Caenorhabditis elegans: one gene and its partner. The protein of the gene in region 2 interacts with the protein of the main gene of each other region in a pairwise test. Each region holds a gene or a part of one and is shown on either strand. Other genes may lie near its edges.

Region 1 (4,897 bases), on a different chromosome or scaffold from region 2:
TTCCATAAAGCGTCGGATTCTTCAACATTCTCACAAAAAGGAAAGTGTAACCCAACCAATTCGTCGCCTCCGACACACTACTGACAGTGCCGAGCACAACCTCAGCGTTGAGCATATCAGTGAGCCGTGAGACCATCTGCGACTCGACAGGAAGCTGTTGATTCATCAGCGAGAGATAATACTGGAGCTCCGAGTGATTTGTGATGAGAATTCCCTCTCCGCGATCATCGTACTGTGGACGTCCGGCTCTTCCGAGCATTTGCATGATGTCGAGTGCTCCGAGCTCTGTCCAACGTCCTTTTTCCGGGTTATAGATCTGAGTTCCCTTGATGATTACAGTATGAGCCGGCAGATTGACTCCCCAAGCGAGAGTTGCAGTCGAAAAGAGCACCTGAAAAATAATATTTTGAAGATTTGAAATATTTTCGGGAAATTTTCGATTCCCCTACCTGAATATGCCGATCAGCGAACAAATCCTCGACGAGTGTACGATCAACTCTGTTCATTCCAGCGTGATGAATAGCGAATCCATACGGCAAGAGGTCCTTCAAATCCAAATTCTTCGCCTGCTCGGCCTCGGTTCTCAGGATTTCTGTGCTCGCTGAGCCCTCACGCATGAACGCCGACAGCGTGTCCTTCTCGAGGCACGCGTCACGAATCGCTTTCGCGGTTTTCGCAGTTTCCTTTCGGGAATGCACAAAAACGAGGACTTGGCTCTTTCCGGCGTGCTCCATAATCTTGTCGTACACCACTTCGTTCATCGCCTGGAACCTCTTCAAAGCCTTCTTCTCAGTAACTCCAATATATTGTTGCTCGAGGGGAACTGGACGATAGCTGTTATCAAAGAAGTGCAAATGCTCAGGCTTCACTCGCAAGAACGTCGCCACATCTTGATAATTCGGAAGAGTTGCTGAAAGTCCGACCAGTCGGCACTCATCGTGATTCTGCTCCATTTGACGAATCGTTCTGACGACGATCGACTCCAACACCGGTCCACGATCATCGTGAAGCAGATGGATCTCATCAATGATCAACAGCCGAACCATCTGGTTATAGGCTCTCTCTCCGCCTTTTCGCGTCACCACATCATACTTTTCCGGCGTACAAACGATCACTTGTGTCGCCATGAACTGCTCTTTGCTCATTTGAGCATCTCCGGTCATTTCGCCGACAGTGATTCCGAATGGAGCAAGACGTTTTGAGAAGCTTCCAACCATCTCTTGAACCAGTGACTTCATCGGAGCAATGTAGACAATCTTGAACTCATCGAGCTTCACACTTCCATCCTCTGCCAAGTGGTTTCCGATTTCTTGGAGCATCGTGAGCAGCGCCACGTTCGTCTTTCCAGCTCCAGTTGGAGCACAGAGCAAGAGATGCTCTTTGGATCGAAGAGCTGAATCACAGAGTCGGGATTGGATCCTGTTCAGCGACTTGTAGCCGTCGAAAGCCGGTTGGGCCCATTTCGGGAGCTCTGAGACACTGACGAGCTTCTCTCCTTCAGCAAATGGTCGTGGTTTGAGGGCTGGTACGTGGATTTCTTCGTAGGACTTTTTCTGGCGGCGGTAGGATCCGTCGGGGAGCTCGCATCTGCAAAATTGAGAATTTTAGGGTTTTTTGGGAATGTGGACTTTTAAAGTGCATAATGAATCAAATTTCCTTAATTTTCTAATGGAAAATCGTACTTTTAAAATAAAATTGTATTTACCTTTTATTGCTCATCAAATGAGATCCTTGACTGAACGTGAGATCGTTTAGATCCAACATCTTGCGGCCCGCCTGCCACTGTCCCGCACTGATGGCTTCATTTGCTGCTGTGGCGGCCTTCTTCGACTTCTCCGCGTCTCGTTTCGACTTTTCCACCTGCACAACAGATCCCTCATCAGTCTCCTGAAGAAGTGCAAGAATCGGATGAAGCTCTGGACGAGATCGCATATCATCTTCGATTTGGAGACGCTCCTTCTCGTTCGCCTGACGCAAAAGTGTACAGTAGAGGATCATAAGACGATTCTGGCGAAGGCACTTGATGAACTCGAACTGATCGAAGCCTAACAGCAGGACAAGCTGATTCTCGGCGTCACGATCGTCGGCGGCGTTCTTGAGAATTCCGATGACTTCCGTTTGCTTCTGTTGGGCGATCAGAGGATCTTTGAAGTACTTGGCGAGCGATCTTTGGATCCAATGAGCGTCGATGTCACGTGGATGAAGAATTCCTCGTGCTTTTTGCTCATCTTCCGTCAAATGACCATCTCCTTTGAGTGTTGCCGTGTAATCTGTATCCACACCTTCTTCCTCTTCACTCTCCTCCTCACTATCACCTTTGATCTCATTAACCATCCCACCGTCATCTTCTTCCTCATCCGAGTCGAACTGCACATTTACACCCTCATTCTCGTAGATGTCTCCATCGCCTTCAGGCTTATTCTCCTCTTCGATCGAAAAATCGCTGATCTTCTTCGATAAGTTGATGAGAACTGCGATACGATCGTCGGTGAGCGGTCCCAGAAGAGCTTCCACTTCTTTCTTCTTCTCTGAAAAAAAAATATAAATTTTATTGAAAATCTTCGATTTTCACCTCACCTTTATCTCGGAATTTGTCGTTTTTCAGCGTGAGAAGCACCTCGTCAGCGGCTCCGCACAGAACCTCGCGTGGAACATCGCCAAGTGCGTCCAAAATGAAAGACAAAATCACTTCATAAGTCTGCTTCGTCTCCTGGGTTCTGGGCTTGTAGGCTCCCATGAGCTCATTATTGTCGACAAGGACATTCCGGCCGAACTGTTGTGCTTTCTCGTCGTCCTTCTTCTTTCTCTTCTTCTTCTGATCCTGCACCGGCGCTTTTCCCTTGATCGCCCGGTCACCCATCTTCATTTTGCGCATCTCCTTATCCGTGATCGGCAGCACCTCGCCAGTCGGCTCCTCTCTGCCACGCCGATCCGTCAGATTGTAGTCGACCGACAGAACCAAGTTGGAGTTCTGCCGGTACTCATACTGCTGGATTCGGGCTAGCTCGTCGGCCATTGTAGTTTGTAGTCAACTCGGGATAGTCGAATATCCTGCAAAAATCGTGGGATTAAGGTTAAAAAAATCAAAACAAGAAATAAAAATTGAGAGAAAATAGATAAAATCGGCTGGCTGAAAACCAATTCGAATTGAATAATAAATGGAAAATAAAATAAACAAAATAAATATTATTTTACAGAGTAAGTACATCGGGAATTTGCGAAAAAAAAAATTACGGGGAAAAAAATTACAGAGAAATATGTTCAAATTTGGAATTAAATGGAAATCGGAAACATTTTCCTGAGACGAGAGCACTAAAGGACTAAAGCTAAGCGTAAAGCTCGTGAATTAAGTAGTGGGGAATGTGTATACAAAAGCTCATGGGGAATCAGAGGAGAATCTTGGAGACTTCGGGGAGATCCGGAGATCATTGGGCCTTCTGAGCAGCCTCAACACGGAGCTTCACATCGTGAGCAACGACCATCTCGGCGGCAGTGTACAGATGGACGACGGAGATGGCGGACTTGACGAAGGCAATCGGGAAGGCGATGAGTGGGAAGATCGACATGAAGTGGAAGTTGAAGATCAGTGGTCCTGAAAATTAGAGGAATTAATAAATTATAGCAAAAATAAATCAAATATTTACCAGCCCAGAACGCGCGAATGTAGAGCAAAATGTAGAAAGCCTCATTTCCGCCGCACATGAATCCGAGGAACAATCGATCCGTGTAGTAGAGGTTCAGAAGCCAATTCGAAGACTGCTTGTGGCTCGTGGCACCGGAGAGATCAGTGGCGTGAAGGTGAAGCCAGTGAGATGCGATGTCGATTACGGCCGACAGTTGAAGCAGGAACAAGTGATCCGGGTAGAACTTGCAGAGCGCCATCACCAAGGCCAGCAGGGCGCAGCTGAAAATATGAGAATTTTACCGAATCCAATTTTTTTCTCGAATTTTCCAGCATATTTGAGAAATTTTAACGTACCGATCGGTGAGCTGATCGAGCATTGCTCCAAATCGGCTCGATTGATTGTAGGTCCGTGCCGCCCATCCGTCAAACGCGTCGAGTCCGGCGCTGAGTGCATAGCTGAAATTATGAGAAATTTTAATTACGAAAATCTAATTTTCAGGACTTTTCTTCTGAAAAACCTTGTCAGATGGCATTGTAACTCTTCAATTATGGGGGAAAATTGAAAAGAAACCTGGTCACCTTGATTTCTTTACCATGCATCGCAAAAATACTCGACATTTCAGTGAAAAAGAGATGAAAAGTAGTAGTAAACATGGATATTAGCTAATTTTTGATGCAAAAATCGATTTCCAGCTCGCCAAAACTCACCAGAACATTGCACACCATGGCGCTGACGACATGTAGTACATGGCCAAAATGGCGAGTACTATGCGTCCATAACCGATGAGATTCGGGTAGAATAGCCACACATTGTTGTTGTTCTCGGCGGCTGTCGGTTCCATTTTAAGCTGAAAATATTGTTTTTGAATAAATGAGAACGAGAAATCGATTGAAAACACGGGAAAACGAAAAAAAGCGATAAAAAATGCCTTGACAACGGTCCATCTGCTCCAAAGCAAGACATTTTCGAAAATGGGAAGAGAGCGGAGACGCAGATGGTTGGAGATGAGAGAAGAGCTAGAAATTGTTTATTCTCGCTTCATTTGGCTAGCTAATAAGATGGAAAGCTTTTAAGGCAAAAATGTAGGAGTTGGAAGCGTAAATGAGGAGAATTAATGGGAAAAATTAAGAGAACTGGGATTTTTTTTCGAGAATCAGTTTGCATATGGCCGAAAAACTTGTTTTTGCAGCAAAATCAGCTAAATATTCAGCATAGGAACACGCTTCAATAAGAAAATATCAAAAACCTCTCAATAAGTCCACAGAATCGTC
Region 2 (4,935 bases):
ATCTTAAGTATTCAGCCCAAAACCTCAATTTTCACCAGAAAACTTCAAAAATTTACGCTAAAAACTGCTATTTTTACCTCGAAATCTCAAAATTTTAGCTTATAAACTCAAATTACACCTGAAAACTTCGAATTTTTTGCCTATAAATGTGTTTTTCCCCCGAAATTTTCAATTTTTCACTCAAAAATCCCAAATTTTCAGCTCATTCTTCCAATCTCTATGCGTCATCGGCTATTGCCTTCTCCCGCCGTTCGTCGCCGCCGTTCTTTGCTCACTTTTCCTCCATGGAATCGCTTTTCCGCTCCGGCTTCTCATCACTTCCATTGGATTCGTGTGGTCCACTTATGGTGGGGGTTTTCAATTTTTTCTGAAAAACTCGAATTTTAAAAATTTCTACCGCGACGCGACCGCTTCGCGCGCGGCTTTCATGAATTTTCCAAAATTGTCCAATAAAATTATCAAATTTCAGCATCGATGGGATTCTTGGCAGGATGTCAGCCTGACAAAAAGCGACTTCTCGTCATTTATCCGGTGTTCCTGTTCTATTTCGTCGTCAGCTGGATGATCATTTCACATTCTTGAGCTTTTTAAAGAAAAAAATATAGATTATTTATTCCCCTTTCAACTCGTGATATTATGCATAACATCCGTCATCATCGCTTTTGATTATAAACTACAAAAAACTGTGATTTTCTACTGTAGCTTTCACTAATTCTCCCCCTTTCTACTCTCTAAGAGCCATAACAAATTTTTTTGTCTCCTCCCTCACGATTGATGTATTTATTTGAACGAAGAATAATTGATTTATGCAATTTTTTCAGTGAAAAATGAGAGAAAAAAGATAAATTCAGAATATTAAAAAATTCAAGCCGCGATGCGACCGCGCCGCACTGGGATCAAAAGGCGCGAGTTTAAATTTCAAAGAGCGATTTTTAAAGTTTTTCAAAAAATACTAAATACATAATTTTCTTTTTCAAAATTTTATTAATCTCATCGCATTTTTCTTCCGTACAGCTGCCGTCTTTTTCTCTGCGCTCTCTCGCGTCTTCTATGCTCACTCTCACATTCTGCGTCTCCGCCGCGTCTCGTACTCTCTCGCTAGTCCTACTCACACGTTTTTCACTTGTTTTTTTGCCTAAATTAACGGATTTTGCCACTTTGTCATCGATTTTCAGCGAAAATCTATAGCCGCATCGTGCTTGGCGTATTTCTTTGACTCAGTAGCTTGAAAATCCCGAAAAGTTTCGGAAATTTTGATCCTGGATCCAGGATCCGCGAAAAAGTGGATAAGATTTTGTTTTTTAAGGGTAGCAATTCTAAAATCTAGAGAAAATAGATGGAAAAATTGATTTCCAAGCTATTTCTCACTTAAAAATCAAGAAATTTGCGAAAAGTTTCCAATTTTGCAGAAAAAATTTTGGAATTTGAGCTACATTTTTGATTTCTGGATATTTTTCGCAATTAAAGTATTAAGATTGTCTAATTGGAGAGGTGTGAACGTAGAAATTTGAATTTTGCGAAATTTTACTGCTAATTAGCTTAAGTTTACAAAAAACACCTTATGTACGCCGGGCGCGTTGCGGTCGCGTCGCGGTCTATTTGAAATTTTATGATTTTTCGAGTTTTTAGAAAAAATTAATGCTTTAATTGAAGATTTTAAGCAAAATTAGTCGTGGGAATTATCACAATTTTCTCCTCGCGTTGCGGTCGCGTCGCGGTTTTCTCAAATTTTTTGTTTCTGAAAACCACTATTTCCCTAAAATATTATAGATCTCCAACAAAAATGCGCCCAAGAAGGTCCGACTCCACAACGGGTCCCGCCGCGAAATCACTTCCCACCTCCGACGTCGAAGAGGATGAAGCTGCGCCGGATCTCAAGGCAGAATCCGAAGACGTGACGTCATCAGAGGAAATGCAGAACAAGAATCCCGTCAGTGCTCCAGAAAAACGGGCAAAAACCGCCTCATTTAGCCCACCGCCCGCACTTTCGCCCGCCCACTCAATCCAAATGGAAAACGAGGAAATCGAGGTGAAAATGGAGGTGGATAGTGATGAGGAGGAGAAAAAATTACCAAAAATCACTGAAAAACGAGCCAAAATGGTGTATAAGGTGAGACAAGCCTGCACGAGAAACGCGCCAACGTCCAGCTGGTGCATTTCTCGATACCGTACTTCAAAATCCTCGTTTTTTGCAGAAAAAACCCGAAAAAGAGAAAGAAGCAGTGCCATTTATCGATCCAAATGCTCCAAAAAGAAATCGATCTGGATATGTGCATTTTATCATGTAAATTATCGATTTTTCGCGAGAAAATCCCGAAAATCCCCAATTTTTTCAGACATCGCCGAGCTTCATACTCAAAAGCCGTGATGTCACAGAGAGAAATTAATATATCGCTTGCGGCGGACTGGCAGAAGCTTACCGCCGAAGAACGTATCCCGTTTCAGCAGAGAGCCGACGAGGAGAAGGTCAAATATTTGGAGCTGATGGAAGAATACAAGAAAACTGACTCGCATAAGGAATTTCAGAGTTCGTTGTGCTAAAAATCGAGTTCTCCGCAGTTTTTTACCTGTAGGAAGTATAGGAAGCGTTAATTTTGACAACTTTCGGGTTACGGTAGCCCCAAAAGTACGTAAACACCGTACACTCTACGCAAAAATGCACAGAAATTAAAAATTTTGCCAAAACCGTCTACATATGGGTAAAAAGGGTCGCTGAGCTCGATTTTCACATTAAAAACCGCTAAAAATCTCATTTTCTTGCAGAAAAACGTGCAAAATTCCTGTCATCTCAGTCAAATGGCTCGAAAAATGCGAAAAAACGACGGCAAGCAGATTCTGACGACGACACGCCAAACGTGCAAATCCCCTTCCCGAAACCATCAGTTTTTTGTCCACTTTTGAGCCCAGAGCCTGCCACGTCATCATCCACATCAGGCCTACAGTACTCTGGGCCGATTTTTACGCCGGAATTTATGACCTACAACAAGACACGGGACACCTACCGTAGGCAGCTGGCTATTGAGAGATCCCATGTGGAGCATGAGCTCGAGGCGCTTCATCAGCACGATATGGACGTTCGAATTGAGCAACGTACGGCCTAGAAACCCAAAAAAAAAAGTTTTGTGGCCGTGGCCTAGAAAGCAGCAAATCTCGAAAAAACTAGCCCACATTCTTTTCTCGACAAGAAAATGTTTAAAGTTTTTTTCTGAGAAAAAAAAATGAAAAAACGGAAAAAAAATTGATGGAAAAATTATTTCGTGCCCGTGGCCTAGAACTTTGAAATTTTTAAACAGTTAGGCCACCACTCAACAAGTTTTTTTTTGCAGAAGAGACACGAATCCGAGAAGCTGACGAGAAAATCGAGGAGACGATGGCAAAAATGCGTACGGTGCTCGCCGCGGTTCCCGGTGCAAAAGGTGAGATTCGAGGCCGTAGCCTAGCAATATGGAAAGTTAGGCCACCACGAGAAATGTGATGGCCTAGAAATTCAGATCTCGGAAAAGTTTGGTCATTAATAAAAATCGCCTAATTTGGTCATTTTTCGTCATATTTCTCAAAAATTTACGTGGCCTAGAAAACCAAATTCCGCAAAAATTCGGCCACTGCTCCAATTAGGCTATCTTAGCCCGTTTTTCATCATTTTTTTTTCTCAAGATTTCAAATTTTTCCAGATCACCTGACCTCAATTGACGCACTGGCCACGTGGCTCGAGTCTCTGACCCATCTCGGAGCCCAAAATTCGACGAAAAAAAGTGTCAAGGAGGCGGTGAACAAGAACGCAAAATCCATCGTTCAAATGAAGAAATAGCCGAATTTTCCCTGTTGAAAATCAATAAATTACCCACCCCCGCCTTTTTTTGAACCATAATTTCTTGTGCATTTTCCCAAAGTTTTATATCAATTTTTTTCAATATTTTTGGTCTTTCGTTTTATATTTTTCAGGGTTTCCTTCTTCAACTCCTTTAGAAAATTCAAATTTCCCGCCTAAAAATATCGATTTTCCATGTGATTTTTTTTCCTAGCCCCCGCCCTCCAAAATTTGAGCTCAAACATGATTTCTTTGATTTATTTTTCAATATTTTTTTATTTTTATTCGAAAATGTTTTCTAATATGAATTTTATATGTTTTGAAAGTGTTTAGTTTTTTTTGTTAAGAAAAATCGCTAGAAACATGTAAAAATATAATTTTGCACAAAGTCGTGGTGAGACCCGTCGAAAAAGTTCTGCCATGCGCCTTGAAAATGCACCGTAGTTTTTATTGACTTTTTCGATAAAAAAGCTCCCTGTGGGAAGAATCCGAACAAGAAAAGCAAAATTTCTTTCAGATTAGGAAAAAAGCACTGCATTTTTAAATAAATTACTTGAGAAAGAACGTTTATAAATAGTAATTTCAAATTCAACAACAACAAATTTGTGAACAAATACAGTGAATAACAGGAAAAAACAAAGAAAGTTGAGTTAGAATCAGGAAGGAAGCGAATATAAATGATATCTGGAATTATGTGAAGCTTATAAAAGCAGGGATTCCGGCTTCTGCTCCTCCAGCTCGATTTTGACCTCACTATCCATTTCTGATTGGATTTTAATACCATGCGCGGCGAGAAAATTTGACGACAAATTCTTGGAGCTTTTATTGGCGTCTTTTTTACTCCGGGAGCTGCTGCTTTGCGCGAAATATTCGAAACTTTTCATGACTTCCTCGTGCGATGTAGATTCTGACTCATTTTGCTCGAGAAATTCGAATTCTGGAAGGATTGACAGTTTTCCGCGTTTCAAATCCGTTTCGAGCACTTTCTTGACTGAGCGGAATGTTTGACATCCTTTTTGAATGCATCTGAATTTAGAAAAATTAACAAAAAATTAATAAAACAATTTTTGTTTTCCAGAAAACTGAATTTTTTTCTCAATTTTCCGGAAAATCAAAGAAATTTTTTG

The links.
Region 1: the proteins of hmg-20 (region 2) and snrp-200 interact in a two-hybrid assay, tested with the Caenorhabditis elegans proteins (one large-scale study listed by BioGRID).

The regions. Positions count from the first base shown.
Region 1 is NC_003280.10:12,733,860-12,738,756, forward strand, and holds the start of snrp-200 (U5 small nuclear ribonucleoprotein 200 kDa helicase), read right to left. Parts: upstream 3,052-4,897; 5' UTR 3,017-3,051; coding exon 2,578-3,016; intron 2,529-2,577; coding exon 1,706-2,528; intron 1,588-1,705; coding exon 450-1,587; intron 392-449; coding exon 1-391. Other genes in the region: pisy-1 (CDP-diacylglycerol--inositol 3-phosphatidyltransferase), read right to left, coding at 3,426-3,592, 3,645-3,904, 3,980-4,081, 4,334-4,467. UniProt on the Caenorhabditis elegans protein: Catalyzes the ATP-dependent unwinding of U4/U6 RNA duplices, an essential step in the assembly of a catalytically active spliceosome. Plays a role in pre-mRNA splicing.
Region 2 is NC_003279.8:12,533,544-12,538,478, forward strand, and holds hmg-20 (HMG box domain-containing protein), read left to right. Parts: upstream 1-1,768; 5' UTR 1,769-1,783; coding exon 1,784-2,110; intron 2,111-2,195; coding exon 2,196-2,284; intron 2,285-2,336; coding exon 2,337-2,527; intron 2,528-2,763; coding exon 2,764-3,090; intron 3,091-3,326; coding exon 3,327-3,416; intron 3,417-3,671; coding exon 3,672-3,808; 3' UTR 3,809-4,128; downstream 4,129-4,935. Other genes in the region: W02D9.2 (Protein YIPF), read left to right, coding at 202-347, 470-582; W02D9.4 (Zf-3CxxC domain-containing protein), read right to left, coding at 4,510-4,834.